Linked DNA regions of Cricetulus griseus. The protein of the gene in region 1 interacts with the protein of each later gene in a biochemical or structural test. Links are inferred from orthologs where the notes say so. Each region holds a gene or a part of one and is shown in the gene's direction. Other genes may lie near its edges.

Region 1 (17,048 bases):
AGAAGCCTGTCTCAAAAAAAAAAAAAAAAAAAAAAAAAAAAAAAAAAAAAAGTCAAAAAAGAGAAGGGGAAAGGAAGGAAGGGGAGGGGAGGGGAAGAGAAGGGAAAGGTAGAAGGGAAAAAAGGAAAAAGGGTGCCGTTGACCAGTTATCTGGATTGGCACCCACTTCTAACCTGTGACTTTTATGGAAAGGTAGATTATATAAATAGAAGTTGCCTCCTAAGTGTCAATCAACCCAAATTGCTGTGGTGTCCCTTCACATGGGGAAGCTGGGTGTTACTGTTAGTAGAAGGTAGCTGAAAGCTGAGTATCTCAGGATTCTGTTTCCTTTGCCCTGGAAGTCCCCCTTCAGGGCAAAGGAAAGAGCAGCACCCACACTCCCATCCCGACTACACTGTCACCAATCGGTAACTTTGAAGAGTTTATGCTGAGACACAGTCCAAAAAATTGCTTCTATTTGGTGGGGCGACTTTTGTTGGTTAATATCTCACAAGAACTAACTGCCCTAAGTGCTACACTTGCTCCTGTCATTTCACACCAAGTTAGTCCCCTCCTTCACTGCACTGTGAACTTGGGACGCTGCGGCCTGTGATATGGTATTCTAAAACACAGATGCTGGGGAGAGTCACACTGCTTCTCAGAACACCTCTTGCATACCTTCCAGTACCTCCTCCCACCACTGTGTCAGAATTTTTCTGTTCTTCCAAGTACTTTCCCCATGGATTCATTATTCCCATAGTCACGCTTGCCTCCTCTGTGGTAATAGTTCCCAGGGCTCTATTCATTTTGGTTTTGCAATTAACAGATTTTCCCCCCTTAAAGAAGCATCTTGCATCCTGGTCTAATAGCTTACATTTTTTTGCACAGCTCTTTGCAGAGAAAATGAGGCGTTTAAGAGGTCAGATGCCCTACCTACCTTCACCCCCTGCTGAGCCTGTCTTGGACCTGGGATGACTGCTTCTGCATCACACTGTTAGGAAAATGTCTCCGCACAGACATTCAAGCAGTGTGTCAGAGATGACAACTTACAGGCTTTTCACCGTAGACAGAAACGTTTCTGTGGAGTCTCGTGTTTGAAACATGTGAGTAGACCCACCAACCGGACCATTTCAAACCACAGAGACCTACTGGGAAAGCGATTAAGAATGCTATTAACATCAGTTTTCCAAAATCTAATCTCAGGGGAAGAAACAGGCGGTGCACCGTGACCATGTGTAGAGGGGTTAAAAAGCAGGATGCACAAACTGTACGTGTTGTGTCAGCGGTCTCTCTCAAAAAAATGTGGCCACAGAAGAAAGTGTGAAGCATGCTGGAAGAAGACAATATTTATGGCTGAAGAAATTTGGCCTCACATAACGGTAATTATGAACAAGATATTTTCCCTAATAAAATTACTGCAAAACAAAATCTGGAGAATCTAAGTGCTTCCCTATGTTGTCTTTATTTTATCCCATGTGCTCTAGTGATTTCGAGAAGGGGGGAAAAAAAGGAGCAAAAGGGAGCAGAGAGAAAGAGCGCTGTAGCGAGATGGCCTCTGCAGAGGGTTGGTTTTGCTTTAGAAACTGGAATGTGTCCAGGCTTGATTTTTATTTTCAATTCACATTTCAGATCCAGCTCCCCAAACTCTTTGATCTTTCTCCCTGTCTCCTTACCCGGAAGAGAACCCTTGGCCTTCTCAGCTGGGAGCTGGGAGCACACGTGGAAAGACTGGCTGGGATCCATATTCTTGCCAAATTTAGTCACACAAAGGGGCCTGAGAGGGAAAAAAGAAAGGATGAAAGCCGCAGCCGCCACGACTTCAAAGGCCGCGCCGCCGCGCCGGGCCCTGCGCAGGCGCCGCCCTCCGCCGATATAAGGCGAGCCCCGCGCACGCGGGCGGCCCTTCTGCGCGCGTCCGGCTCCAGGGCGCACGGAGGGGGCAGAGGGACCGAGAGAGGGGCCGAAGGGGCGTGCTTCCCAGAAAGCCCGTGCCCACGCCACATTAAGGCGAGAGAGAAAAGTTTTGGGAAATGAAAGAAAAGAATGTGATGTTTGAGCCCCCCAGACTAGCGGTTCCCCGGCTGGCACGTGTATTCCAGAACCGAAGTCCATGTGCAGCATCCCTCCTCTCCCCATGCCACGCGCTCTTGGCGTGGGGATCTCGAGTTCCTGGTGCAGAGCTGAACCTCTGCACCCCCTTTGACTCACTCTGTTGCCTTGCGACCACCCCCCTACCCCCCCCCGTCCCCTCCTCCGTCTCTCCTCAGCCACCCTTCCGCGCCGCTGTCCCGGCGCTGGGGCTGGCACTCCAGCCCGGAGTTGTCATCTCACGAAGCAGAGTGGATGGGGCTCCCTCCACCCTAAGAGGGGGGCGCACAGGGCTGACCGCGGGAGGCCTCGTCGAGCTACAGAAGCCAACGGGCGGACGCGGGCCGCGCAGAAACCGGGCGTCTCTGGGCGCCGGATTGGAGAAGGAGGTTGTCACGGTCCCACGAGTTCCCTGGCCCTGGAGGAAGGGGCTTTGGGTTTGTTTGTCTCAGGCGGAAGAGCCCCTGGGACACAAACTGCCACTTCCCTTGTCCCCCTTCCCCGTGACGTCGGTTAAACTGAAGGTGCCCACAGATTGAGCCTCCTGCCGAAGCTGGGGTGGGAAACCGGAGTCTCGGTTCCGCCCCTGGAATCGCATGAATTCGTTTTTCTAGTCCCTTCTCGCCTGTCTCTCAGAGCATCCTCTTCCGTAGGCCCCGCCACCTCCTTCCTTTGGGATCCCACCTAGGTTGCAGCTGGCAGAGAGTCTAGGCCACACAAAGGGAAGACCCGGAGCCTGGGCTGGGGTTAGGACCTAGGGGGCGGGGAGGACTGTGCGGGGGCACTGCGCTTTCTCATCCCTGTAATTAAGGACTCTGGACCGTCTGCAGCGGGACTCCTCTTGGCTGCAAAACGCTAAGGGGGGGGGGGCTTCTGGTGTGTGTTATTTCTCCTATCTATCCCGCCCCCCCTCCCGGCGCACTGGGCTACGCTCACCTCGGGGCAGTTCGGCCAACTCTGCTCCCCGAAGCCTGGATTCTGGCTGGGGTTAGGCGCCTCACCCCCTCTACACGCCCCTTCTCCATCCCCACTCAGAGGCACAGCACCGGCGACAGCGCCTTATGCCAAAGGAAGTGTTGGTATAAAACAAGTTCGCTCCCAAAACTAAACCCAAAGCCACCAGGAGGGGAAAAAACCAACAGCAAGGCAGCCAGCCCCCAGCAATTGTTTCACGGTCGGAATTAAATCACATCAAAACGCCCCCTGAAACCCACATCCTGAAGGGGAGTAAACCTACTACAGCCAACCTCCAGTGGTTCGCTAGAGTTCACACGAACAACCTGCCTCTGCATCCCAGGAAAGGGGGCGGCGGGGCTGCTGCTGCACCGCACCCATCACATCCCAGATCTGGGATCCCACTCGCCTGACCCCAAGAAGCGAAGAAGCCGCTGCTTATGCTAATAACAGCCCCACAGGAATTAGGATAGACTGCTAGGCGGCTGGAATGCCTTTGCCAGGAAGGCGAAGTCCAGAGACACCACTTCCTGGGGTTACTTCGCCCCTCCTTTATCTCCTTGCTTTTCTCTCTTAAAGACTTGACCAAGGCAAAGTCACCTTCCTTTACCGACCACGCTTTAAAACATGTGAACACATGGTTTTAAGAGTGGCCTTAGTTAAGATTTGCAACACTGCTAAAGACAACAAGCACACCGGGGAGACCACTCACCGCCACGCGTATAGAGCGAGGCCATTAGGTGATTTCGTTAGAACCAATGTTTCCAAGGAGGGTTACAGCAAGGTACCAAACGCAGCCACCTATCCCAGTTTTTTTTGTAAACCGTTCTCACTAGGTGTTGAGCCAAAATTTCCCATCTTCTTGAGCTCCTAATCTCCGGGACACCTGGAGCTGAGCTCTATATGACTCACAGAGTCCAGATAATTAACGCGAAGGAGAAAATGGGAATTCGAATTAGTTGCAACACTTAAACAGGGAAGATGTAGAGTCTTCATTTAATCTCCTCTTGGCTTTCAAAAAATACCCTCTGGCCATTCTTCTTGCCCCCTCCCCCTCTGGGTTTGATGAAAAGGACCGATCTACTCCGGCTGCTTTGATGAAACTGCATCTTCCAGGGTTCTTTTGCTCAGTCCAATTGGCGCACTCAGAGGAGGAATTCTGACTTTGTTAAATTTTATGTAGCAGGAGCTGTAGATGTCTAAAACTGTGTCCCCCTCTCCTCGTTTACCACACTAACAGCAATGGAGGTTGCATGCCATCACTATAAAAAATGGATCCATTTCCAACCCTCATTACTATTCTCCCTGACACCCTGAAGTAAAATGCCATTTTTGGTTTTCTTATATGTAAGGCATAGCTTTATCGATTATTTAGTTTTAAAAAAAGTTTTCGTTTTTCTGGCTTCTTTCACCAGCCTCTTAATTGTTCCCAAATCTATCAGTTTACATACGACAGACTGGGACATATTACCTATTAATTACTTATTACCCATGGGACCAACTGAATTGATATAATATAGATATATAGCTTTAAAAACTATTTCCTAGCAAGCTCCCAGACTGGTAGTTATCAGAAAGCAAAGCTTTAAATGCTTAGTTAACTGTTAAAGTCTACAATGTCCAATAGCCCACAATTTCAGCTTTAAAAGAGATCTTTGCTTGAGCGGTCTTATGTAATGGCACTAACATATACTTCTGTGTTCTATTTTCAACTCAAGGAAGATGGAGATACAGTTCTTCCCGTCTCCTGTTTACTGTTCCCAGGTTTTACAGATGGCTACCGCATTGGTGTAATCATTTTGCCCGAATATTTGACTGAGGGGAGGGGTTGAGAACTAAAGGACAAAATGTAATGTTTCCCAACTTAAGACTCACTTACACAGTAACTTTCACAAAGCGTCTCCCTCAAAAGTCCTATCCTTTTGCAAAATGCATCAAAGAGACCGTGGAAAGTGGGGAATTTTTGAGGTTGGATTCGGATTTACATCGTCAAGGGTCCCTTTCAGCGTTGTTGTCCAGGATGTCAGCAATCGCGCAGTCATGTCTCCCTTTTCTAGATCCTTCTTTCCCCTCGTTTTGGGATGTATTTTCATTTTCTGCGAGGTCTCTTACACACTGAGTCTTGCTTAGCCGAAAACCCACGTCCATCCGGTGGTAAGGACACAATGAAAGCGATAGTGTTTTAAAAGCGATAATTAAGGTCCAGTCTTCAGTCGCTCCCTTCTTCCTGGTCCTTTCGCCCTGGCAAGCCTGGAGATTGTATTTTCCCTTGTCTCCGAAGAGCGTATGATATTATACACACACTACACAGCCACAACTCTTTTTTTTTGTGCTTGTTGCGTCTCTTCTCTGGCTAGGTGAGCAATGAGTTGCATTTTCTCCTTTTCCTTCTCCTAGTCCCTAATTCTCGCCTCATTCCCTCTGTCAGAGCATCTATCAACGTGGTGTCGACCACAGCGCCGGCGGCTTTCTCTTTCATCTTCCTCCCCTTGCCTGAGTGAGGGGGCTAGAGTGGGCGGCGGAAAGGAGGTGGGAGAGAGGCTGGCTAAGGGCATGAGTCGGGGTGGGGGGGCAAGAGAAAGAAGAGATGCTTAGATGATGAAGTTAAGCCACTCAGGTAGAGTTTCTTGTCAATTTCACCTGGGCAACAGCGTGCTTTGGGTGGGTTACAAGCAGCACCCGGTCCTTCTCCAGGTTGCATTTTTCTTTTCTCTCTAGGCATGCACCCGAGTACGCGCGCGCGCGCACACACACACACACACACACGCACCCACCCCCACTGCGCCCCCAAAACTATGACTAGTCCTCTAGGTGCTGGGAAATGTACTAGAGCTGGGGAAGAACCTGGATCTCCTCCTCCTCCTTCTCCTCCCCCTCCTCCTAGCCGACTCCCTCCTCCCCACCCCTCCAGCCAGCAGCCAAGGAGAGCAGGAGGCGGGGGAGGGGCGGGGGAGGAGAAGCGACGCAAGTGAATAGCTTTGCAGCGCCGGCTAGGCGCGGCGAGGAGAAGCGGTGGGAAGGCGCAACCGCTCACCTGCTGGCCAGCGCGCACCAGAGGGACCCGGCTGCGCTCCTGTGGGCCCTGGCATCCGGACTCACCCGGAGCCTTGCAAGCGACCCCGCTGCGGGTATTCCCCGCCTGGCGGCCTGGAGGAGCCGAGGGGCCACCGGCAGCTCTTTGCTTTGACAGAGGGGAGGCGGGGAAAGAGGCGAGTAACAACGCCAGCGAGCCAGGCAGAAACTCGAGCCGGGAACAAAGAGGGATCGGGCTCGTGTGTGTGCGTGTGAGAGTGGTGTGTGTGTGTGTGTGTGCGTGTGCGTGTGTGTGTGTGTCGGCCCAAGCTGAGGGCTGGAACATTTGGGCCCGAGGCTCCTGCTGTGACTCCCCAAGACTCCGCCGTGCCAGCCACTGTCGATTCCCAGGGCTCATCAGCACAAACTTTATTCTTGGCAAACTTCTCTTTTTCTCCCCTCCTCCTCCGTCCCCCCTCCCCCCAGCAGATTAAATGCTCCTCCAGAAGGAAAACCGAAGCGAAAGGGAAGGAAAGAAGCTCCAACACGGACGTCTGCAGCCCGGGTGGCTCTTTATTGTTTACCCATCAGGAAGTGGACTTTTCGGTATTTTCTGATTCTCCTCGCACCTCTGCTGGGGCAAACGGAGCCTTTTGGCCCAGCTCTCAGCTTCTCGAAAAAAACAACTCCGTAATCGGCATCCGAGGAATCCACGGTGGAGAAGTTTTGCACGGTGACGCGTCACGGGACCCTCCTCTGCACTTTGGAAAGTCGTGCCCCCTCCGGAACCCGTGTTCTCGGCGCACAGACCCCAGCAAGGCGGCGTGGCCACCCGGCCTTGGCAGCCTAGCCTAGCGCACGCGGATCGCCGCAGACGCTCTCAGAGGCGCCGGCGACTGCCGCCCTCGCAGTCTGGTGCCCTTAGCCCCGGGGCCGGGCGCCCGCGTCCTTCTAAGTGGGAAAGCGTTGCAATCACAGCCGCTCCTGCTGCGGGCCCCTCGCTTTCCCACCCCGCTTCCATTCATAGTCCTCCCACACTCGGTCTTCCAACTCTCACCCACCCCACCCACCCACCCATCGACCCCCTCTTCCTGCCGTCGCTGAGTGCTCCCGCAGCGGAGCGGGAGATTACAGAGCCGCAGGGATGCCCCAACTCTCTGGAGGAGGCGGCGGAGGGGACCCGGAACTCTGCGCCACCGATGAGATGATCCCCTTCAAGGATGAGGGTGATCCCCAGAAGGAGAAGATCTTTGCCGAGATCAGTCACCCCGAGGAGGAGGGTGACTTAGCCGACATCAAGTCATCCTTGGTTAACGAGTCCGAAATCATCCCAGCCAGCAACGGGCATGAGGTGAGTGGCCGCTATCCCGAGAGGCGTGACGGGTTCAGGGGACGCAGGGAGGAAGCAAGCCGAGCGCGCGGCCACTTTGGCCGCTGCGCCCAGGTCCCTCGCGGGCTGGGCGGGGAATAACGGCCCTGGTCCACGGTGCGCACGTGTGTGAGCGGCGGGCAGGGAAATGTATTCCAAGTGGGTCTGTGGCTAAACGGCGGTGGCTGGGCAGGAAACGTTGGCCTTTACCCGACCTTGTTTCGTCCTCCGACGTTTCGGCGGGGCTGAGGGACGCCACGCATTTAAAAGCAGGGATGTCTAAACACAACTGCGAAGTTCGTCCTGGGGTAGAACACAAAGTGCATCCGCTAGCTCTCTTGGTACAGTGTGCAAAAGTGCGTTAAACCACCGAGGCTCCAAGGAGCGGAGCCTCAGGCGGGAGGAAGAAGAGGCGGGCGTGGGCCGGCCAGGAGGGGCCGTCCCAACCGCCAAGGAGTAGGGCGCGCGCCCCAACTGTGGGGGCGTTGCGGGGCCGGGTCCCCACAGCCGGCGAGGCTGCTGCGGGGAGCCGTGGGCGAGCCGACCCGAGCCACCCAACAGCATAGCCACCGCAGTCCTTCCGCCCGCAACCCCGGCACTTAAAGTGGAAAGAAAGGCGTTTATTTGGGGTTAGGCAGGCCTTGGATCTCTGCAGAAGAAAGGCGAGCTCGGCAGCAGCGGAAGCCGGGCCGCGGCTGGGGAGGAGGGACACGCTTTATCAGATCTCGGGGCCAGCTGCAGGCGACGGCGCTGGTAACCCGAGTAGAGTAAATAGAGCCACGTGGGTGCCGGCTCGAGAGAGAGCAGAGAGCCGGGCCGCGCGCGAGCATCGGATGGGCGTAGATCCCCCCAAGCCCACACCTCAGTGGCCGCTCTGGCCCAGCAGCTGGGGAAGCCTGTCTAGTGGGGACATCCACTAGAAAAGTTGATAGCCAAATGATGCCCCCAACGTTTTTTCCTCCCGGAGAGACTTGGAGAGTATACCGCTTTCCTTAAATGGCAGCCTTCTGCCCCCACCCCAAAGGAAGGGTGGTTTCGGGGGCGGGGACATTTTGGGTTTAAAGAGTACCTTTAAGAACACCTCAGAGTTACCTACCTTCTCTGTCCCGATGGCAGGGGTGAGTACGCATTTGAGAAGGCTGCGGGGGGGGGGGGGCGCCATAAGGGGGCTCTGTGTCCCAAAGTCCAGCAAAAAGTAGGGGAGGGTGGCTTGGGTGCAGTCAATGAGGTTAAAAAAAAAGTCTCTGTGTGCCCGAAGGATGAGGTCGCCTGGAGGACACAGGTTCAAAGAATCAAATACTTCCTAAACTCGAGGACTTGGTACGGTAGAGTGGCCTCCAATAGAGTAGTCCACAGATTTCCAGCCACCTCACGTTTCCAGGGTTTGCTAGTCCGAGGAGAACAGCAGTGCTTTGGAAACCGAGAACTACTGGGGTTGGGAGTTTGAACTGTCCATCTTCCGCTGTGGAAGTGAAGCAAGGAGACCCACTGACTGATACCACTGATTTGCACGTGGTTGAGTCGGGTCGGTGGCGCTTACCAAAACTGATATTAACTGGGCTACCTTTTAGATGTCTGTAACCCGACTCTCAATTTTCCCTCCCTTTAACCACAGACCAGTTCGACTCTGATAGCCTCATAGCATTCAGACTTTTAAGTTGTAAGTGAACGCAGTTCCGGCCAGGACTGCTCTTGGGCAATTTCCCTAAGACCTCAGCAAAGTGGGTTGTTTTGTTTACGTTTCCAGACCTCATTTTCAGTTACAATATCCTGGTGGCATTTAATCAAATCCTGTCAGTGTGAACCAAAGCCAAAGAGGCTGATACATCCTAGAAGTTGGGTTGTTAGAGCAGGACAGGTCATCCCCAAATTCGCTTTTCTTTTCTTTCTTTCTTTCTTTGCTACCATTTTTACCCTTTGATCTGGAGTACTTAAAAATCACTCAGAAATACACTTTGAAAAGAAGCTTTCCTGTACTCAATCAAGCCTAGCCTGTCCTTAATTTTTAACCAAACGGGCAGATGGAGTTTTACCTAAATGTCTTTCTTTGAATTATCAGCAGACACACTGAAACTGTTAGAAACTCTAAGATGCTCTTCTTTCTTTTGGGGGTGGCTACCCATACCTTTAGGTGGTCAGACAAGCACAGCCCTCTCAGGAGTCCTACCACGACAAGGCCAGAGAACACCCTGATGATGGTAAGAAGCTGGATTTCTCTTTCTCCCCGCTTTATCAGAGGACATGTGCAATTTGAGAATCTGCTTGTGGTGCTTGCATCTGAGTTCAGTAGGCTGGGACCAGATAATGCAAGACTGTGCCCACCTCTGTCCCATTTCAACATAATAGAAAGCCCAGAAAGAAAGCCCAGAAACTCAGTCTCTCTCTCATTGTGTATACCACATGGTTTAGAACCAGTCCCTGAATGAATCTGGGCCTTTGGGTTTCCACTGGCTTCCGGATTCTCAGAGAAGAAGGGTTGTTTCTGAGCAGTATTTTTCAGCAGTAATAATTTAGAATTCTTCATTTGCAAAATTGCTGTGTATAGTTTCTCAGTACAGAGGAGAAGGAAGGCAGTGTGTGGACAGATGATTGATCAGGGCTCAGTAAAACTGAGCCTAGCTTCTAAAATATCAACAAATATTAGAAGCTACAACTATCAGATGATAGACAATTCCCCCATTGCTGATTCTTGACAATACTTTAAAAAAACATTCACACACAAACCTTCCTTGCTCATTCTAAATTTAATCAGATCACCATAGGGTTCAGTTGTCATTCAGTTGGCATTTCTGGTCTCCTTCAATTACTTAACAATTGGCCTGTCTAGAATGGAATGTTTGTACATTCAGTGTGTCGACCTAGGGGCAGGGAGAGAGCTGTATATCAGCCTTCCTTCTTGGCAACAAGTAGTTATACAGATTAAAAGGCAAGGAACATTTCTTTGTCAGACTGACGTAAGTTTAGCCATGAAATTAGCTCTTCCAAAGGTTAATTCACTACAAATTTGGATTTTAGCCATACACTAGATCCAGTTTTCTCCTTTAGAATTTGGTAAAAATCCAGAAGTACAGGTGGAATTGTCGAGTTTGTCTAAAAGAAGGAGACTTCAAATGTAGAAATGTGTATGTGTTGTGGGGTAGAGGACCTCACACATTAACAGTTCAATTTTAAGTTTGTGTGTGTTCCCTTGTGTTTCTGTATTTCTCAGTCCAGTTTGTTAGCATTAGAACAAATTAAGTTGGATGAATAACATTTATTTTTGTAAAAACATCAGTCAGTAGTGTAAGTAAATTGAACCACATATTTTTTAAACATCTGGTTTGCTGTTAAGCCATTGGAGAGCATAAATATTGTCAATCTAAAGTAGAACATAATAACCCAGTTTTATATTTTATAATATTTTATGTAAACTCTGGCTTGTCTTAGAAGCAAGAGATTTTCTGATGATAATAGTTTGATATAAAAGGAAAGTCTGTGCATCTTTGTTTTTTTTTTTTTTTTATTCTCCAGGAAAGCATCCAGATGGAGGCCTGTACAACAAGGGGCCCTCCTATTCCAGTTATTCTGGCTACATAATGATGCCAAATATGAATAGTGACCCATACATGTCAAATGGATCTCTTTCTCCACCCATCCCGAGGACAGTGAGTAACATGCTGATGTTGAAAATTATTTTCAGACGTGCAAATTAATTTGTGTTTCAACAGAATGCCTATTTCTTCAAACACACTGGCAATGCCTTCATTTTATGTGACTGTTCATCACTTGGTAAGAGCTGTATAAGGAATGGCAGCCTGAGAACAGAGCTGTCTTTATGTCTCCCGTTTGGATTCTTAAATTTAGGCTAACGTGCTGAGGCAAATGAGTAGAGGGTCACGTATTATGAAACCAAATGGAGCCAAGTCAACAAGTCTATGGTTTTCATAAGTGCTGTGTTTCCATGCTGCTGATGGGAGGGAAGTGGATTGAATCTTTCAGTTAACTAAGGGCCAGGTAGCTTTCAAAGCCCTAATCTGCTTAGAGGCTCATTTGGACCTAGATATTCCAGACTGTTATTTTGGCTTCTGAAAATTACTTGTTTTATTATATTAGCTATTGTTTATAAGGAAGGCAGATGAGCCATTTTCACTTCATTGTCAGTTGGGAAAATCTCATCTGAAGACCATGTAGTGAAAGTTGTTGCTATTTTTAATCAGTTAAGACTTGAAGTTGTAAAAAAAAAAAAAAAATGTAGTGTCATACAAGTACACTATGCTGGTGTGTTCAATATTACAAAGGATTTCACGTTTGTTGTTTGGTGCTATTTCCCTTGCGTGTGGGGGCTGTGGGGGGTGGAGACTGTGCCTATGTCTCCAGAAAACATCTCAATGGTAGCTTCTAGAGGACGTGAACACGATTGTACTGGTGAATATACTGAACATACTGGAGCTTCTTAGGAAGCTGCAGAGGGCGGTCATCTCAACCTGTTCCCAGCCCCATTCCTTCACCACTCAAGTCCAGTGGTAAAGTCTCAGTAACTTCTTGGGGGCAAATCTACAGTCTCAGTGGGACTCAAAGCATCTCCAAACTGAGAAGTCAGCAACACTTGGGGGAAGGGGTGTCACTGATGCCTTAGTGACAGAATCTGAGAGCAGGGGGTTCACTGAAGAAGCAGAGAGGAAGTGGCTGGTAACCAACCTGAGTGCTTGTGGCCATCTTAATGGCCTAAGCCCTCAGTGCTTAAAGTGATAGCTCTGTGGATGGAGTCTGTGGGCCTTGTGATTTCAGACTTAACGTGATCGTTTTTTTTTCTACAAATTTCAGACGGCTCTCTAAACTAAAAACCGTAGGGAATACGGTTTTTCTCGTTTTTATAACGCAGTTGAAATGGAGCTTGTTGGGATCAAACCTTGGAGATTTTGTGACGTTCGTGTTACAAGGAATGATCCCATTATTTTAAGGCATTTCAAATATTGATGATATTTAATGTCTGTGTATTGTGTAGGATCTTCTACCTAAAATGTGAATGAACTAATAAAGCAATAGTCCATTATTTAGAAATTACCCCCAACATATACTTAAATGCTTCTGGGTTTTAAAACTTACAGAAGACTTGTTGAGCCAGAAAGACAAACATACCTGATTTTCTAAAACAGTTTTTTTCGTTTTTTTTTTTTTTTTTTTTTTTAATGGGACATTTTGGTTAAGGAACGGTTGAAAATTTGGTGGAAAAGCTAAAAGGTCAACAAATAACCTTTTCATATCAAGTTAGAGCTTTGGTAATAGAAATTCACTTCCAAAACTGTTTGTTCTACCCATGTGTACAGTTGCACCGATTTGTGGTTTATTCATGGAGCGAAGGACTGCTTCTCTCCCCAGACAAGAAATTTGGGAAAATTGGTGTAATAAACCTCCTGGTATTTATGCAAAACTCTTACAAATATTGACAATTATCCTTTTCCCTTTAAGCTAGTATTCTGTCTTAGGTCTCTGTAGCCTTTTCTCTGATTTTTCCAATGTACTCTTTTGGTGTGTGTGTATATCTGCACATGTGTGCATGCCTGCCTACTTGCCTTATATTCCAGCACCATTTTGAAATGTCCATAGGCTGGAAGATACTTACTGTTACGTGTGTATTCAAATGTTGAGACCCATGAATCAGCCATTCATTGCTTAGGGAGGATTTGTGGGCTGAGTAAATGTCACTAGGTGTAGATGGTGTTCAGAGAACCGTTATTCTATTTTCTGGTGCCTCTGCTGAGTCCTCTTGCATGTTAAAATGCACTCACGTTAGGTATGTTTTATTGAGAGACCCTGCAGTTTGCACAATTCCAGAAGCCTTTCAGTTTTAACCACAAGGCAATGTCAATTTTTTTAGAGTCCAACTGAAGTGAGTTACAATCTTTGGTTTGTAATACCTAACAGCTGTTTGTAGTGTTCTTGAGATCAAAAACACTTTAACCGGAAGGCAGTCTCTCTTCGTCGCCCTAACCACACTTTTGCTCTCTTCCTCCTTCCTTCTGCCCCCAGTGGGATTGTTTGTGTCACTGACATCAGCAATGGTAGACTTTCTTAGAGGGTGTCAGGAGCTGGTGACCATTTGCATTTGGTCATTAGGGTTGGGGCTTCCCTGTGAGTTGGATTTGCATCACAAACAAATCCTAGTTTATTGCATCTGCTAGCCTGTGAGAACTGGAGAGGACCATCTGTGGGTGAGAGAGCCATCGACTGGACCCCTCTCCTTTCTGTGTCTAACTGCAGCCCTGAGAATTCCAGCTGTGGCCAAGTGGCACACACAGGGACGCCTCTTCTGAAATCTCATCATAACCATATGCGGTTGCTCCTGTTTTAAGCCGGGCCAGGCATCATGGTGCCTATTCAGGAGAACTGCCTTCACCCATCCAATTTTTCTCCTGCAAGGTCGTTTCAGTTGGGACCTCCTTCTGAGACTGCAACTTTAAAGGGAGTGTATCTACATCAGACATCTATGAATGAGTCTCTCCTGCAATTTTCGATGCAAAGTTTTAGTTCAGGTAAATTGAGCAATCAGGGAGAAGGCAGCCATGACAACTGCTTGGTGTCAGTGCGGGCTCCTCAAGCACAGGTGATGAGAAAATGTGCAAGCCTGTTAATATTTCAGAGGCAGGACCCCCAGAGAGTTTAGTAAAAGCATATTTCTTTCGCTGAAGCTTATTTTGTGAAAATAAGGCCAATGTTGAAATATTAAAGCAACAAGAAGAAACAGTTCTTAGTGTTCTAAGCTCGGTGGTAGAGCTGGGTGTCCAAGCCTAGTGTAGAGGGATCCTGAGCTGAGCTTCTTTAACATATGAAAGTTCCCTGTTGGGATAAGATTAGCCTGTGGCCATTCATCTTGAGAATCAAACTTCCATTTGTCCCCCCTGTAGCCCAAATGGTTAACACCTTTCCAGAGAAGCCTGCCATTTCTCTTCTGATGCCTGCGGAGGGAGTGGCACCAGAGAGCCAGGAAGCTGCTGCCCATAGCCCCTGAACACAGTAGCTCTGAATCCTGAGAACTTGGAACTTTGTGGTTCTTTGTGATCATCCTGAGAGACACAGGCAGGGAAAGAGAAGGTGTTTATTCTTTTCAGCTGCGTTTTTAACCTTATTCTTAACGTGGACTTCCCGCGGACATGTTATGACCATGCATGTTTAGTTATTTAGAATGGTTTGATTCTGTTGGATGACTCTTCCTTCGTCCACATTTGTCCTTCAGACCATTGTCTGTGTCTGTTCTATCTCCCACCCCTGATTTTGTATGGGTTTACAAACAACCAAGATTTGATTTTTGTCAGTGTTCACATATGGGACAAAGGACTTTAGGTGGATTTGGCTAACCTTGAAGCCCCTGAATGCTGCTATACTGATGTTGGATGGCTTTGAGACAAACAGGGAAGAGTGACTGTGGCTTGTGCCTCATTAGAAGCCTTTAAAGGAGGAGACTCCTTGTACTGCAAGGGGCTGCCTGATTGACTTCCTGATGAATTAATTTTAGTTTTCTGATTCCAGCCGTTTAATTTCTCTCAGCTAAGTAAGCTGGCTTTTCCCTCTTTACCCTCAAGCACAGGGTGTATTTTCAAAGTGAATTCTATGCAATATTCCTATGTGGCTGTCAGGAGAAGGTGTGGGAAAATTCCTCTTCAGAGTCTCTTGTTATTCTGTCTGATCCCTCCTCACTACACTGCTACCAAGTCGAGAAAGACTCATAATTGAGAAGAATTTGGAGCGATTACCTTTGTTCCCCCAGATAGCCCAGGTCTCTAATGATGTTGATTACTCTGGGATCCCAGGGAGCCATCCTGGAGCCCTTTAGTAGCCAACCCTGCATTTACAGTTTATGTCTTTTCAAATGACCCTGGGAGCTTTGTTTGTCTGTTTATTCAGAAAGTCATGAGAACAACCCAAGATATTGTAATTTCTATAACACAAGATCACTAAATCAAAGTGGGAACAAATCATTTGTTGTTGTTGTTGTTGTTTGCTTGGTCTTGATTTTTTTGAGACACAGTGTTGCTACATAGGGCCTCGAACTCACAGAAATACAAGGGCTTCTGCTTCCCAAGTGCTGGGATTAAAGGCATAACAGGCAAGCTGAATCCTACTGTTTGAAACTGATCATACATCACAGGCCTGAATCCAGCTTTACTCTCCTCACCGTCTTTACTCCAGCCACACACTTTGGAATGACTAGCAGAGCTAGAGTTTCACAAGTAAGCCCACCTGGCCCACCATGGAGCCTCGCAAGCATGTCAGCTGTGGAGTTTTTAAAGGTGAATTTGTTAATTCTGGAGGCAGGCCCATTTGGATTTATGAGGTTAACATTTTTTTTTGAGCAATCAGAGCACTCCCATTTTTCCCCCCTGACTCCTTGGTTCTTCATTTACATATCATGGATAAGATGGGGATTTTATGGATCATTTTCCCTTTGATTTTGGAGAAAGGCTTGGAGTTTAAAAATAAAACATTCCAGTGTTGTCTGTGGCGGCAGAAAAAGCATGTGTGCATTATTTCCAGGTACAGGGAGCACTTGGCAGCTGCCATAGCACGGGCGTTGCTGGCATAGGACTGAAGGTTGGTTTTTGAAAAGGAGGCATATGTTTTAAAGCAGTGCTCTTTATAAGCAACTGTGACAAGCTGGTCCAGGCATACACTCACTTAGGGAAAGCTGAGGATGTAGCTGGTTTGTCACAGTGTCTGCCTGCTAGGAAACGAAGCCCTGGGTTTGGCCCTCAGCACCATACAAAGAACATGTGGTGGTACTCACACATTTGTAAACCCGGGACTTGGGAGATGGAGGCAGGAGGATCAGAAATTCAAGCTAATCCTCAGCTACTTAGTGAGTTCTGGGACAGCCTGGCCTACAAGAAATCCCATATCAAAGGGGTGGGGGCAAGGACAACAGGTAGTAGCCATGGACTTTATTGAAATAACTGTTAAAAATATACTTTCAGGGAGCTGGAGAGATAGATGGCTCAGAGGTTAAGAGCAATGGCTGCTCTTCCAGAGGTCCTGAGTTCAATTCCCAGCAACCACATGATGGCTCACAACCATCTATAATGAGATCTGGTGCCCTCTTCTAGCATGCAGGGAATGCAGGCCAAACACTGTATACATAATACATAAGTTATATATATATATATATATATATATATATATATATACAAATTTGGTGGCACACATCAGTAGTCATAGCTGCTTGGAAAGCTGAAGCAGGGAGATTGAAATTTCTGCGTTCAAAGCCAGCCTGAGCCAGCATAGCAAGGGTCTGTATGTACGTGTGTGTGTGTGTGTGTGTGTGTGTGTGTGTGTGTGTGTGTGTGTATAAATACATAAACTCATGGTTGTCTTTTAAATACTGCAACTTAAAATTTTTAATTTTATTCATGGATATGTGGTCTATTTGGTGCATACCAATGAATACTGTATGCTATGTTTGTGTTATTGCTCTGAGATCACCAATAGAGTCTAACCTCAGTTCGGAGGGTGGAGCCCACATTTGGCTGACCAAAGTGGACCATAGAGTTTTCCTGGTGGACTTGGGGAGATAGAAGGACACTCAGAGGAGAAAAAGGTGGAGCCAAGAGGTTGTGCAGGCTTTTCTCTCTGGGAAGTGGGCAGAGAGAGGTGTTTGTGTCTTCACTGTAGCCCC
Region 2 (11,311 bases), on another chromosome or scaffold:
GGCCTAGGAATTTAAACCATTCAGGGTGTGTTCTTGAAGGGGCGTGGAGTACCATTCTCTTCCTATTTTTTGAACTCGAAGCCACCAGAAGATGAAGAGACTGCCTCTGCTACTTGCTCATGTCATAACACACCGTGGTTCTACAGGCTCAGATTACCGAGGTCATGTGACCGCAGACTGAACCCTCTGAAATCTCAAGTGAAAGTAAACTCCCTTCATTCCTTATAAGTTGTCTTCTCAGACATTCTGTCACAGTCATGGAAAGCAGATTAACTTTTTCTGCATGGTCAATTCATTCATTCATTACAGAGACATGTATTCAAAATCAGCCACAAACATGGCCCCAGTCCTCTAAAAATTCAGATATGTGTGTGGCCGCTGCTGGTGGAAAGTTAAGCAGATAGTTAGGGTGTCACAGTCTATTGAGCTATATTTGGGAATGGGCTGCTGAACTGATCTGGGGATGTGCTGAGTGTGGGTAGAAACAGACAAGGCTTCCTATAATGGTTGAGCCCAGTTTTAACATCTAAATAAAGGTATTGAACAAAGAGCCAGAGAAAGGAAAGGGCAGAGAGAGGTTGGCACTAAACAGTGGTTCTCGACCTTCCTAATAGTGCAACCCTTTAATACAGTGCTCATGTTGTGGTGACCTCCAACCATAAAACTGTTTTCATTGCTACTTCATCACTGTAACTTTGTTACTGTTATGAAGCATAATGTAAGTATCTATGTTTTCCAATGGTCTTAGAGACCCCTGTGAAAGCGTCATTAGAGAACCACTGGTCTAAGAACTTCAGGTATTTTTAGCCATTGCAGCCCTAAGGATGATATAAGTGGGCATGAGAGGGCAGGAATGAAGGCCAGGAAGAGATGGGTAGCCAGTGTAACACAGAGCTTGGCCTTTTTGCTGTAATAATGAATGGGGATCCAGAAAGAACTGAACTCAGGTAAAAATCAAAGTGAGATGAGTATTTAGAAAAATATTTTCTTTTAACAAGTCTAACAAACATGGATGCTTTGGGGCATAGTGATTTATAGGAAATTATATTACTGGTGGAGAATTCATGAAGTTTTCTTTGCCTATAACCATAGAAGCCATCTAAGTTCTATTAAGGCAGAGTTTTGAGAATGAATTTTAGTAAATTTATATGATAAGGAAGATTAGCTATTTTAAAATATGAAAATAATCTGTAGCTAATGTAAATTACCCACAATAACTACACAAAAGAGAGAATTTAAAGACAAGCCAGGATATTCTGTGGTCTTTGAAATATTTCTTCACACATATCTATAAGAACACACTCAATGACTTATATTTAAGTGTGAATAGTTCTCAACAATAAGATTATAGATATTAATCTTTCCTTTAACTTACTTACATTTTATAATTTTAAACAATGAGTGATATTTTTTCAACAAGAAAATAAATATATACAGATATATTGCACCAACAGGCCCATCTAAGATACCCACAGGCCTGCTGGATTCCAATTGGTTCTCCATTACAATGAGCAACTATATGGTGGAGAAATAGGAGAGAAAGAGAAGCTGAGAGTTCATGTCTTAAGAAGAGAACCATAACCGAAGAAGCCAAGGCAGTGAGGAAGATGCTGATGTGGGTGGCCTGTGCTGCCACTTTCCGTGTGATGATGTCCAAGCCCAGGCTGCTGCCTGGGGTCATGTCTGGGTTTGTGGCCCCTATAGAAAGCAGCCAGGGGTCTGTGTTGACAAGGTTCCTGTTACTACCAAGGGCTATGCGGGTGCCTGCACTTGCAAGAACAACATATCTGGACTCTGGGAGAACAGGATCTCCACAGACTCCTTTGTGATAGATGACCACAGGGCTGACCTTAGTACCTTTGAACTTGCAGATGACATTTTGAGTGTGCACTTGATGATTTTTACAAAGATCTAAACCTTTGACAAAAGTCTCAAACAAATGTAATGGATGTGTTATTAAAAAATCCTAACAAACCACAGAACAAACTTACATCTTGGAACTTACCTACACATTTTTCATGCTCAATTTCTGAACATTATGCAGCTTCACTTGGGGCGTGTTCTCCTGGGGCGTGACCCACACCTTGGCACAGACTCTCCTGCTTTGGCAAACAGAGGAATAACATATGTTGGGAGATGTGGCAATCTTGCCAGCTGACCCCTCCCCATCCCTGGCAGCCGTGTTCCTTGGCTCTGTTATTTACATTGTTGGTGGGACTCTTCTTAGGCAGCCAGACACCCTCCTGTTCACTCCTGTGTCCATGAACATATTTTTCCAAAGGCAGAATATGAGTAAATTCTGGGTGGGCAGTGGTGGCGCACGCCTTTAATCCCAGCACTTGGGAGGCAGAGGCAGGCAGATCTCTGCGAGTTAGAGGCCAGCCTGGTCTACAGAGCATGTTCTAAGACAGCCAGGGACATACAGAGAAATCTCATCTTGAAAAACAAAAACAAAACTACAACAAAGATTAAGTTCTGTTTAAAAGGGAGTAAGGTACGGGCAGATTTATGGGCTTTTGTGTATATGGTTGAGTTTATTGCTACCAAGGAGGCTGCAAAATAATTAAAATGTATATTTTCTGAAGCTGTGAAAGAAAAGGGTACTGGAAACTTGAGATAATGAGCTTCCTTTCAGATTAGAACTTGGGCACAAAACCTAGATCTACCAATCAAATCTAGCATTGACCTTGAATTGGACAGTAAGGAGGTGAAGTAAGGACTGTATTGAAATGATTTGGGTGATTGTTGCCATTTTCTGTCTCCAAATGTGATATTGTGACAGTGTCTAGTATTTGGGGTGCAAACTGATGTTTACTGTCCAATGGTGGCTTGGGTGGTGATTCCCTAGCCCAGTTCTATCATGGCAGGAGTTACCCAGATGCTCCTACAGGCTGCTTTACATGTTGGCTCTGCTGTCAAGGTGCAGGTCCAGATAGTCTACATTTTCCATAAATCTCTTTCTGCTGAACCGACCTTAGCAAGTTTCCACTGGCTCTTTTCCTCCAACACTCCATGTACAAATCTGTTTCCACACCTTCCTCGTGTCCCCTCTTATTTTCCTTTGGAATGATACACTTTTAAATTTACTTTTTAATCAGGATATAACCCATTTAAAATCATTATGAGTGACTATAAGGATGGTTTATCCCTTAAGAGTGCTTGTCACTCAGCCTGATGGTCTGAGTTTGATCCACAGAACTTGCGTAGGAGTGGAAATATAAGTGACTCCCAGGAATGCCATCTGACTTCTACATATGAACTTTGTGGTGTGTTCTCCTCCCCCATAATAATAAAGTAGAAGAAATTGAAAAATCATTATGACAGATTCTCCTTTCTTGGAAACATTCAGTCACGGTGACTTGGGAGAAAGTTCGCTTGGTAAAGTGCTTGCCATGCAAGCATAGGGTCCTGAGTTCAATCCCCAGAATCAGAAAGAAAGAAAGAAAAGTACTCTAGCTGAATTGGTGAACTTCAGGATAATGAGATACTGTCTCATAAAACAAGGTGGATGTCATCTGAGGAATGACACCCAAGCTTGACTCTGACCTCCACACACATATTCACCCTTACACATGTGAGCACACACTGTGTGTGTGTGTGTGTGTGTGTGTGTGTGTGTGTGTGTGTGTGTATACGAGCCTGTGTGTGCGCATGTGGCAAATTCTTATACCCCATCACCTAACCTCAACACAGCACCATTTATTTATCATTGTCCATTTCCCCATTCCTTTGTGACTAGAAAAGGGAGGAAACAGTATAAGATATCTCACTTATGAGTAATTTGTGTATATCTCTGAGATAAGAAATTTAAAAAAATACAGTGATGGTGGGGGTGTGATTTAGTGGTAGGATGCTCGTCTATTATGAGGGGAGGCCCTGGGTTCCATCCCCAACAAAAACAAGGAAATCAACAACAAAAGCATATTGCCATTATCAGACCTAATAACATTATTCAATTTTGGCTGGTGAGTTTGTTGTAGTGAAGGTATATTTAGGGGAAATACCTCTTTTTCTCCATTTTCAAATAATTGAAGTGTAATTATATCTCAAAAAACTGATGGCCATTTTTTCTCTCCCCTATGTTTCATGGCATTTGTTTTTTTTTAAGACTGTAAAAACACTGGGACTGAAGAGATGTCTCAGTGGTTAAGAGCCCCAGAATTACCAAAATCAGAATTACTTTGGCAGAAAATTCCCAAGGAGGATTTACAGTGATGTTAGGGTCCCTTATCATTTTTTAAAGGAATTACTATGGCTAAAACATAACATCATAATGGGAAAAGTCACTGGTAAACTGTTAAAGATTCAGGAAATCACCTGGCATCCAGGCACGTGCAAACAACTTTAATTAAACGCTGTAAACTATTTAAAATAGTAGATGTGGAAATAGAACGGACTGTGTTGGGAAGAAGAAGGGCTTCACGGGGGAGTGGGAGGGAATAAGAGAGGGGAATGGGGGTTGGTCCTAATCAAAATACATTATATATACATATGAAATTCCTAAATAATAGATCAAAAATTACTTTAAAAGCTGAGATTTTATAATGGTGAGGACAGGGTGGCAGGTGGCATTGTAACAAGTAACCCTGTGAAGGTTTTCTGAACAGAAAGCAGAATGAGCCTAAAGAGAAGATGTAAGACGGGGGTATTTTAGCTGTATGTGTAGTCTGAAGACAACTCCAGCTCAGAGCTACACTTCAGAGATCTCTCTGGAAACTGTACTTCAATGTAGAAGAGTTTGGAAGTCTTGAATTTTCTCTCTCTCTTTTTTCTTTTTCTTTAAGCATGATCCTTTAGGTCTGGGCTTTCATTCACTGGCCTATGTTTCATTACCTTTTTTAGACTCCCAATGTAGCCAAGGGTGCAAGGTTGACCTTGAGCTTCTTTTTTATTTTATTTCTTCAAGACAGGGTTTCTCTTTGTAACAGCCCTAGCTGTCCTGGAACTAGCTCTGTAGACCAGGCTGGCCTCACAGAGATCCACCTGCCTCTGCCTCCTGAGTGCTGGGCTGAAAGGTGTGTGCTCAACCACCTCCCAGCTACCTTGAACTTATTTTCCTCAATCCACCTCTCTTAAGTGCTATGATTATAGGTGTGTGCCACCACATTGTTTTAAGCAGTGTTGAAGTCTGAACCCAAGACCGAATACATGATAGGCAAAGGCTCCACCAACTATACTATATCCCTGGCCTCATTGTAGCGCTAAACCTCAATTCTGATACAAGTCTGTGACAGCTCTCTCAGACCACAATTAGGCACAATATGCTTCTATCTATGTATACTAAGAAGGAGGTGCATAGCTTTTTTTTTTTTCAGGTTAAAAGATTCCCAGTGGGGGCTGGAAAGATGGCTCAGTGGATAAGAGCACTGGCGGCTCTTCCAGAGGACCAGGGTTCAATTCCCAGCACCCACATGGTAGTTCACTACTGTCTATAACTCCAGTTCCAGAAGACCAGACACCCTCACACAAACATACATACATATATACAAGCAAAACACCAACACACATAAAATAAAAATTATTTTTTTAAAAACGACTCCCAGTGGGCCATGAGATTCAGACAATGAAGAGGCCCAGTGTTTCTCAGTGTGGGACTCAATGACATTGGGCCAGAAAGCTTGCTGTCACGCACAATGTTTAGCATATGCGGTTCACACCCGATCAAATTCCTGGAATTGCTCCAAGCCCATCAGTTCCTCCTCCCTATTCTAGCACTGATAATGGAGGACCTGGATGAGATTAGAAGTCTAAATGCATGTTCCTTTCTTGATTTTCTTTCCCCTTCCATTATATCACTCCTGAAACCTAATTTCCAGTAGTTTATATATCAAAGAACATCTTGAAGGGTGATTCCAGATATCCTGTCATGTTATTGTTATTGTGAAGACCAAAAGAAGGTATTTGGGGAACTATATTAAGCTATGAAATTTTGGTAATTGCTACCTCAATGCAGTGTGCATTTTCCCCAAATCCTCAGTTCTCAACCACCCTCTCCAATTGGTAATCTTTCTGATAAGAAATTTTAAAAAGTGCTTCTTTGTGAGGCAAGAGATGGGAATGGGTAATTCCCAGGAGGTGCCCAACCACCCGTGTAGACTTCTTAGGACAATCATTTAATTTATTACTTCTGAAAGTGTAAACACAGGAAGAGATGCTAGTTTGAAAAGAATGTCTTAATCTGGGCAAAAGAAACAGCCAAAGTTAATGCTGTTCTTTGAGCAGCATTTTAATTAACGAGTTAATTAATTGATTAATTGTGTGGGTACCTGCATGTGGCTGTCAGTAGACAGCTTTCAGGAGTTAATAGTTACCTGCTTCCACGCAGGGGTCCCGGGGCATCAGTCTCAGGTTGCCATGTTTGTAGACAAGTACATTTATTTACGAGCCATCTTGCTTGCCCTGCAGTTTACCACATTGCCAGTCAATTTTTCTTAATTTGACCTTGCAACACCAACTCCAACAGGTTTCCTAATCTCTTCTTTTATAAATGAGGAAATTGAGGCTTCTGGGAGTCAAACTGATGTATCTAAGACTACACAGGATTTATTAGAAGAAATCAGGATTTCTACAATCTTAAACACCATTCTTAACACTGATGTCTCAAAGCACCTGTTTTATGTGAAATGAAGAACCCTAATGGAACTAATTAGAAGACAGGTCTACAAGTACAAATGTGTTAAAGTGCAGTCATTTAATACATTACCTAGCTCAGTGCCTTGAAGCTGCACGGGCTTGCAAAGTTAGGACAATCTCACTTGAACTCCCAGCCAGCTGAGAAATTGAAAGCAGACAGTGGCGAAGCTGTTTGGTAACTTGGTGCCTTTTAAAATGAACTGGATCCTCCAAGTGCTGCTTTGGATTAGAGGTAACTAATTGGATAAAAGGAAAGGAGCCTTTCAGCTGATGAAGAGTATTGTAAGAGCCCAGACTTGAGTGAGTTCCAGAAAAGGAACGCACAAGAACAACTTCTCCAATAATGTTCTCATTACAAAGGAGTAGTTTCCAACACTCAGTTTCAATTGAGGACAAGACGATATGTCGCTGCAGCCCGGAGAAGCTTAGGGGCAGCGGGGGGTGGGGGCGAATAGAAAGCCCTTTTATTTTAAAATGGGCTTTAACTCTGAAACTTTTCTAGTGCCAAACCCTGTAGTGTTTTATTTTTTAAATGAACCCTTGGCGTGCCCTCACAGATGTCTGAGCTGGGAGGGACAGTAGGAGACCAGGCTGAATCCGTTGTTATTAATATTAAACAGCCAGGTCTGTACCCTTGAAGCAAACGGGAGAGACGCGGAGAGGAGCTGCTGACATTGACAAGGAATCCAAACAGGACTTGCACTATCGGTACACACCACGTTGCCGCTCCCCGGCTCGGCCTTCTGGGAGTTGTAGTCTTGGAGGAAGCTGCTCTCCTATAGAGCTGGTAGGCTCTGCAGGAAGGAACTACAAATCCCAGGATGCATCGGGATCGGCCCCTCCCGCTCTGATGCCAGTGTAAACTCACCGCGCCGGGGCGGGCGGTCGGCTAGCGGGCTTAGCGGGGCACTGCGCAGGGCGCGTGGCTTGGGGGACTCAAGTGCCCCCCCCCCATCTTCGTCAGGTGCCGGGGTTCTGCTCCAAGTTCCAAGAAGTGGAAGGCGGGCAAGCGGGAGCCATGCAGTCAGAATCTGGGATTGTGGCGGATTTCGAAGTCGGGGAGGAGTTTCACGAAGAACCCAAAACCTATTACGAACTCAAAAGTCAACCTCTGAAGAGCAGGTGAGTGGTGACAGCTGGAGGGAGGCGCGGCTGGAGGCCCAGGGGCCCCGCGCTTGCTACCCTGGGACGGGAACAGCCAGTCTGAATAGCTGTGGGACAAGGACCCCGTGCCCTTGCCTTGGGGTACAGGGAGACTTGACCCCTGGCATCTGGGGTCCTGCTCTCAGAGACTTGCTCGCATCCTAGGGTGTCTGACAGACACTTCGAGGGCACCATGGCTCTCTTGGGATGGCTCATCCAGGCGCGGGGACCCTTGGCTGCACATGCCAGCTGCTGAGCTGAATGGGGGCTGGGGCTGTACCCTGCTGGCCGAGGTGGGGTAAGAGGAGCACCTGATACGGACCGTGACCTGGTGCTATACCCAGTGGCAGAGTTTTTTCTGAGGATCATAGCAGGCTGAGGGCTGGAGAGGGAGAGCTTGGAGTGGATGGAGATCCGATGCTCCAGGGAAGCAATAAACTGGCCTGGAGTATCTCCTTGTAGTTCAGCTTCTTTGGGAGAGACTGCTCCGGGTGGTACCTAGGTGAAGTTCACCGGGGCTTTTTCTGCCACCTGCCACCTGGGAGCATCTGTACCCCCCCACTCCCGGGGTGGGGGTGGGGGGCAGGCAGCGGGTGGGCGTGTCTCCCCAAGCTCTTAGGAATAGAGCTCCTGGCAAATGCAAAAAGAAGGGACAGAGGGAGACAAGGAGGGAAGGAGGGAGGGAGGACAGGAGGGAGGACCGGAGGGAGGGAGGAAGGAAAGAAGGAAGGAAAGAAAGAACGAAGAAAAGCTACTTCAGAGGCCTGTGGTGGTTGGGAATGATCTCTTTTTGGCTGCTACACAAGTTTAATTCCCCAGGCACTTCAAAAACTTTGGGACTTGAGTGAAGATGCCCTCTGGTCTGGTGCCTCCCACCTCTGTACACCTGCAACACCCTTATCCTTTGCATCATGGTCTATTGCTATTTGGCTGGCAGAATCGGTTATCTTCCCTTTTCACTCTCTTTGATCACTCTGGATCCCTAGCACTTCTTATTTGTGAGAATACAGAGAGGGGGATGGTCACTGAAATCTGTGATAGCCAAAGAAAGGCTTTATTTCCACCCCTTTCATTTGTGAGATGAGATAAGGCTGAGGTTGGAAGCATTATCACTTTGTCCATCAGTTGAGACTAGGGTCTAGGTGAGTTTCCCCTGGCAGAGGGGCAGAGAGAAAAGGAGGATGAGTCTTAACTCTGCTGGAAAGTGGAGCCAGGTTACTTTCCTTCAGGCCTGGGGCAGGACCTTGAATCCAGTTAGGCGAACAAACTCTGGGAAGAGCAGATGTCCCTGGCTGCCCTTGCTAAAGCAGGCTTTTTGCACATGCTTGTGGCAGAGTGGAAGGAAATGTGTTAGGCATTGAGATGCATTAACTTGGCCCTTCACTGGTGGCTCCTTTTATAATGGCTATTTTGTATGTGAACGTGGATTGTGTGTATTGGGTGCTCTGAGTGAGATTGTGTAAGGGGTATTGTTGGCTATGCTAGTTAGGGCTTTATCTGCATGTGGCTGAAGGGACCAGTGTTTTACTGAGCAGCCCCTGCTTTTGCTTCTATAAGCAAATGCTCACATGGCCAGAATGAGAGGGTGTGTGTGTGTGTGTGTGTGTGTGTGTGTGTGTGTGTGTGTGTGTGTGTGTGTGTGTGTTCCTGAAAGAAATGAATTAACTGGACTGTTTAGAACATTTATATGATGGGTAATACATTAAATGAGTTTGAGGGAGTGAGGAAAATATGCTTTGGAGAAAGCCAGTGAGTGCCCTGATACTTATGTGGAAGGATTTGGTTCTGTTCTTTGTCACAGTCAGGAGCTCATGTTCTTTGTAGCTAGCTAGCTAGTATGGGGAAAGAAAACTGTAGGTAAGTGGGCATAAAGAACTTCACATGTTGGTACCAGAAGCCAGGTAGGATGGAGGAGACATATGCTCTTTGAAATAAACCAGTTAAATAAAATCTGTGAGTAAGTATCTGGAGTGGGTGACATTTCCTTATACTGTTTATGACAGTTGTCCTAATGGTATTGTCATTTGCATATGTTTTGTAACCTTAAATGGGCTTCATGTGGTTCAGGGTCTTCTCCTTGTTTTTAATTTGGAGTCTTTACTGGGGCCCCCCTTAAGTCCTGGTTGGGAAAAAAGTTGTAATGAAAGTTGCAGACTCTTATAACAAGACCATTTATGTATTGTTTAGATCAGAGGTTCTCAACCTGTGGGTGTTGATGCCTTTGGGTTTGAATGACCCTCTCCAGGGGATGCATATCACAAAGCCTTCGTATCAGATAATTAAATTACAATTCATTATAATAGCAAAATTACAATTATGATGTAGCTACAAAAGTAATTTTATGTTGGGGGTCACCATGACATGATGCGCTGTATTAAAGGGTTTAATCATTTGAGAACCACTGGTCTAGAATGTTCCAAAATTCACCTATGTCTTGCCTATTTCTCTTCGGTGACACTGGCCAAGTCAGTGTCAGTCCTTGCCTGGGTTATTGAATCAATCTCTTAATTCTCTCAGCCTTGGCCACTTTTAGATTTTTAATTTAGCAGCCACAATAATCTTATTAAACTGATTTTCTTTTAGGGCTGAGAGCAGGAGTCAGCCAGTAAAGTGCTTGCCACAGGAATAAGAGTACCTGAGTTTTATTCCAAAAACCCACATGAAGATGCCAGGAATGGTGGTTGGCAGTTGTAATCCCAGCACTGGGGAGGTGGGGATGAGCTTGCTGCCAAGCCAGTCTGTCTGAATTGAAAAGCTACAGATGAAAGTGAGACTCTGTCTCAAAAAATAAGGTGAAGAGTGACTGAGGAAGGCACCTGAAGGTTGAGCTCTAGTCTTCGCATGCATATAAATATATTCACATAGACCATTCTCCACCCCCATACACAGTGTACTCATACATACATGTGAACATGTGTGCACACATATATGTACACCCAAACATAAAATTAAGTTAAAAATACCCACATGATTTTCAGTAAGAGATCAAATCTGTCTCCCTCTGGAGACCCTTAGCTGTCACTGTGGAAGAGAGCTGTGCTTAACCTTAAGCAGGTAGATTCCAGGGATGCGCTAACCTCTCTAAGGTATGCAAGACAGCTTTCAGCAAAGGATCACCTGGGCCCTGTGCTGAAACTCAAGTTGGACCATGCTGTTCTCTCTGGTCAAAGCCCTCCTCCGTAGTCCTTACTTTTCCTTATTCCTTCACATGGCACAAGGCAGCCCACGTAGTCAGGCTGCCTACCAGCTCTGACCTTAACCTCTTGCCACTTCTCATTCTAGGAAGAGCCCAGGCTCTTCTACCTCTGGACCTTTGTGAGTTGCACTTGCTTCTGCTTGGACCATCCTTTGCCTAGACAGCCACAGTACACACTACCCTACCAGCTCCTAACCTTTCCCTCACTGTCATTCTCATGTTCCCTGATTCTCATCACACTTTGGATAGTGTGGTCTTCTGTGGCCATTGTGTTCATAATTACTCTTCCTCCAAACTCTTAGCCTTCCTTTTCCGCTGTGTCTCTTTCACAGTGTTAAT

Evidence for each region.
Region 2: the proteins of Lef1 (region 1) and Mitf form a complex in vitro, tested with the Homo sapiens proteins (2 studies listed by BioGRID). The link is inferred for Cricetulus griseus from reciprocal best matches to the Homo sapiens genes LEF1 and MITF.

What each region holds. Positions count from the first base shown.
Region 1 is NW_023276806.1:27,800,660-27,817,707, reverse strand, and holds the start of Lef1 (lymphoid enhancer-binding factor 1), read left to right. Parts: upstream 1-7,177; coding exon 7,178-7,384; intron 7,385-8,511; coding exon of another isoform or gene 8,512-8,520; intron 8,521-9,533; coding exon 9,534-9,600; intron 9,601-10,912; coding exon 10,913-11,046; intron 11,047-17,048. UniProt on the Homo sapiens protein: Transcription factor that binds DNA in a sequence-specific manner. Participates in the Wnt signaling pathway. Activates transcription of target genes in the presence of CTNNB1 and EP300.
Region 2 is NC_048601.1:46,120,717-46,132,027, reverse strand, and holds the start of Mitf (microphthalmia-associated transcription factor), read left to right. Parts: upstream 1-7,495; 5' UTR 7,496-7,651; coding exon 7,652-7,755; intron 7,756-11,311. UniProt on the Homo sapiens protein: Transcription factor that acts as a master regulator of melanocyte survival and differentiation as well as melanosome biogenesis.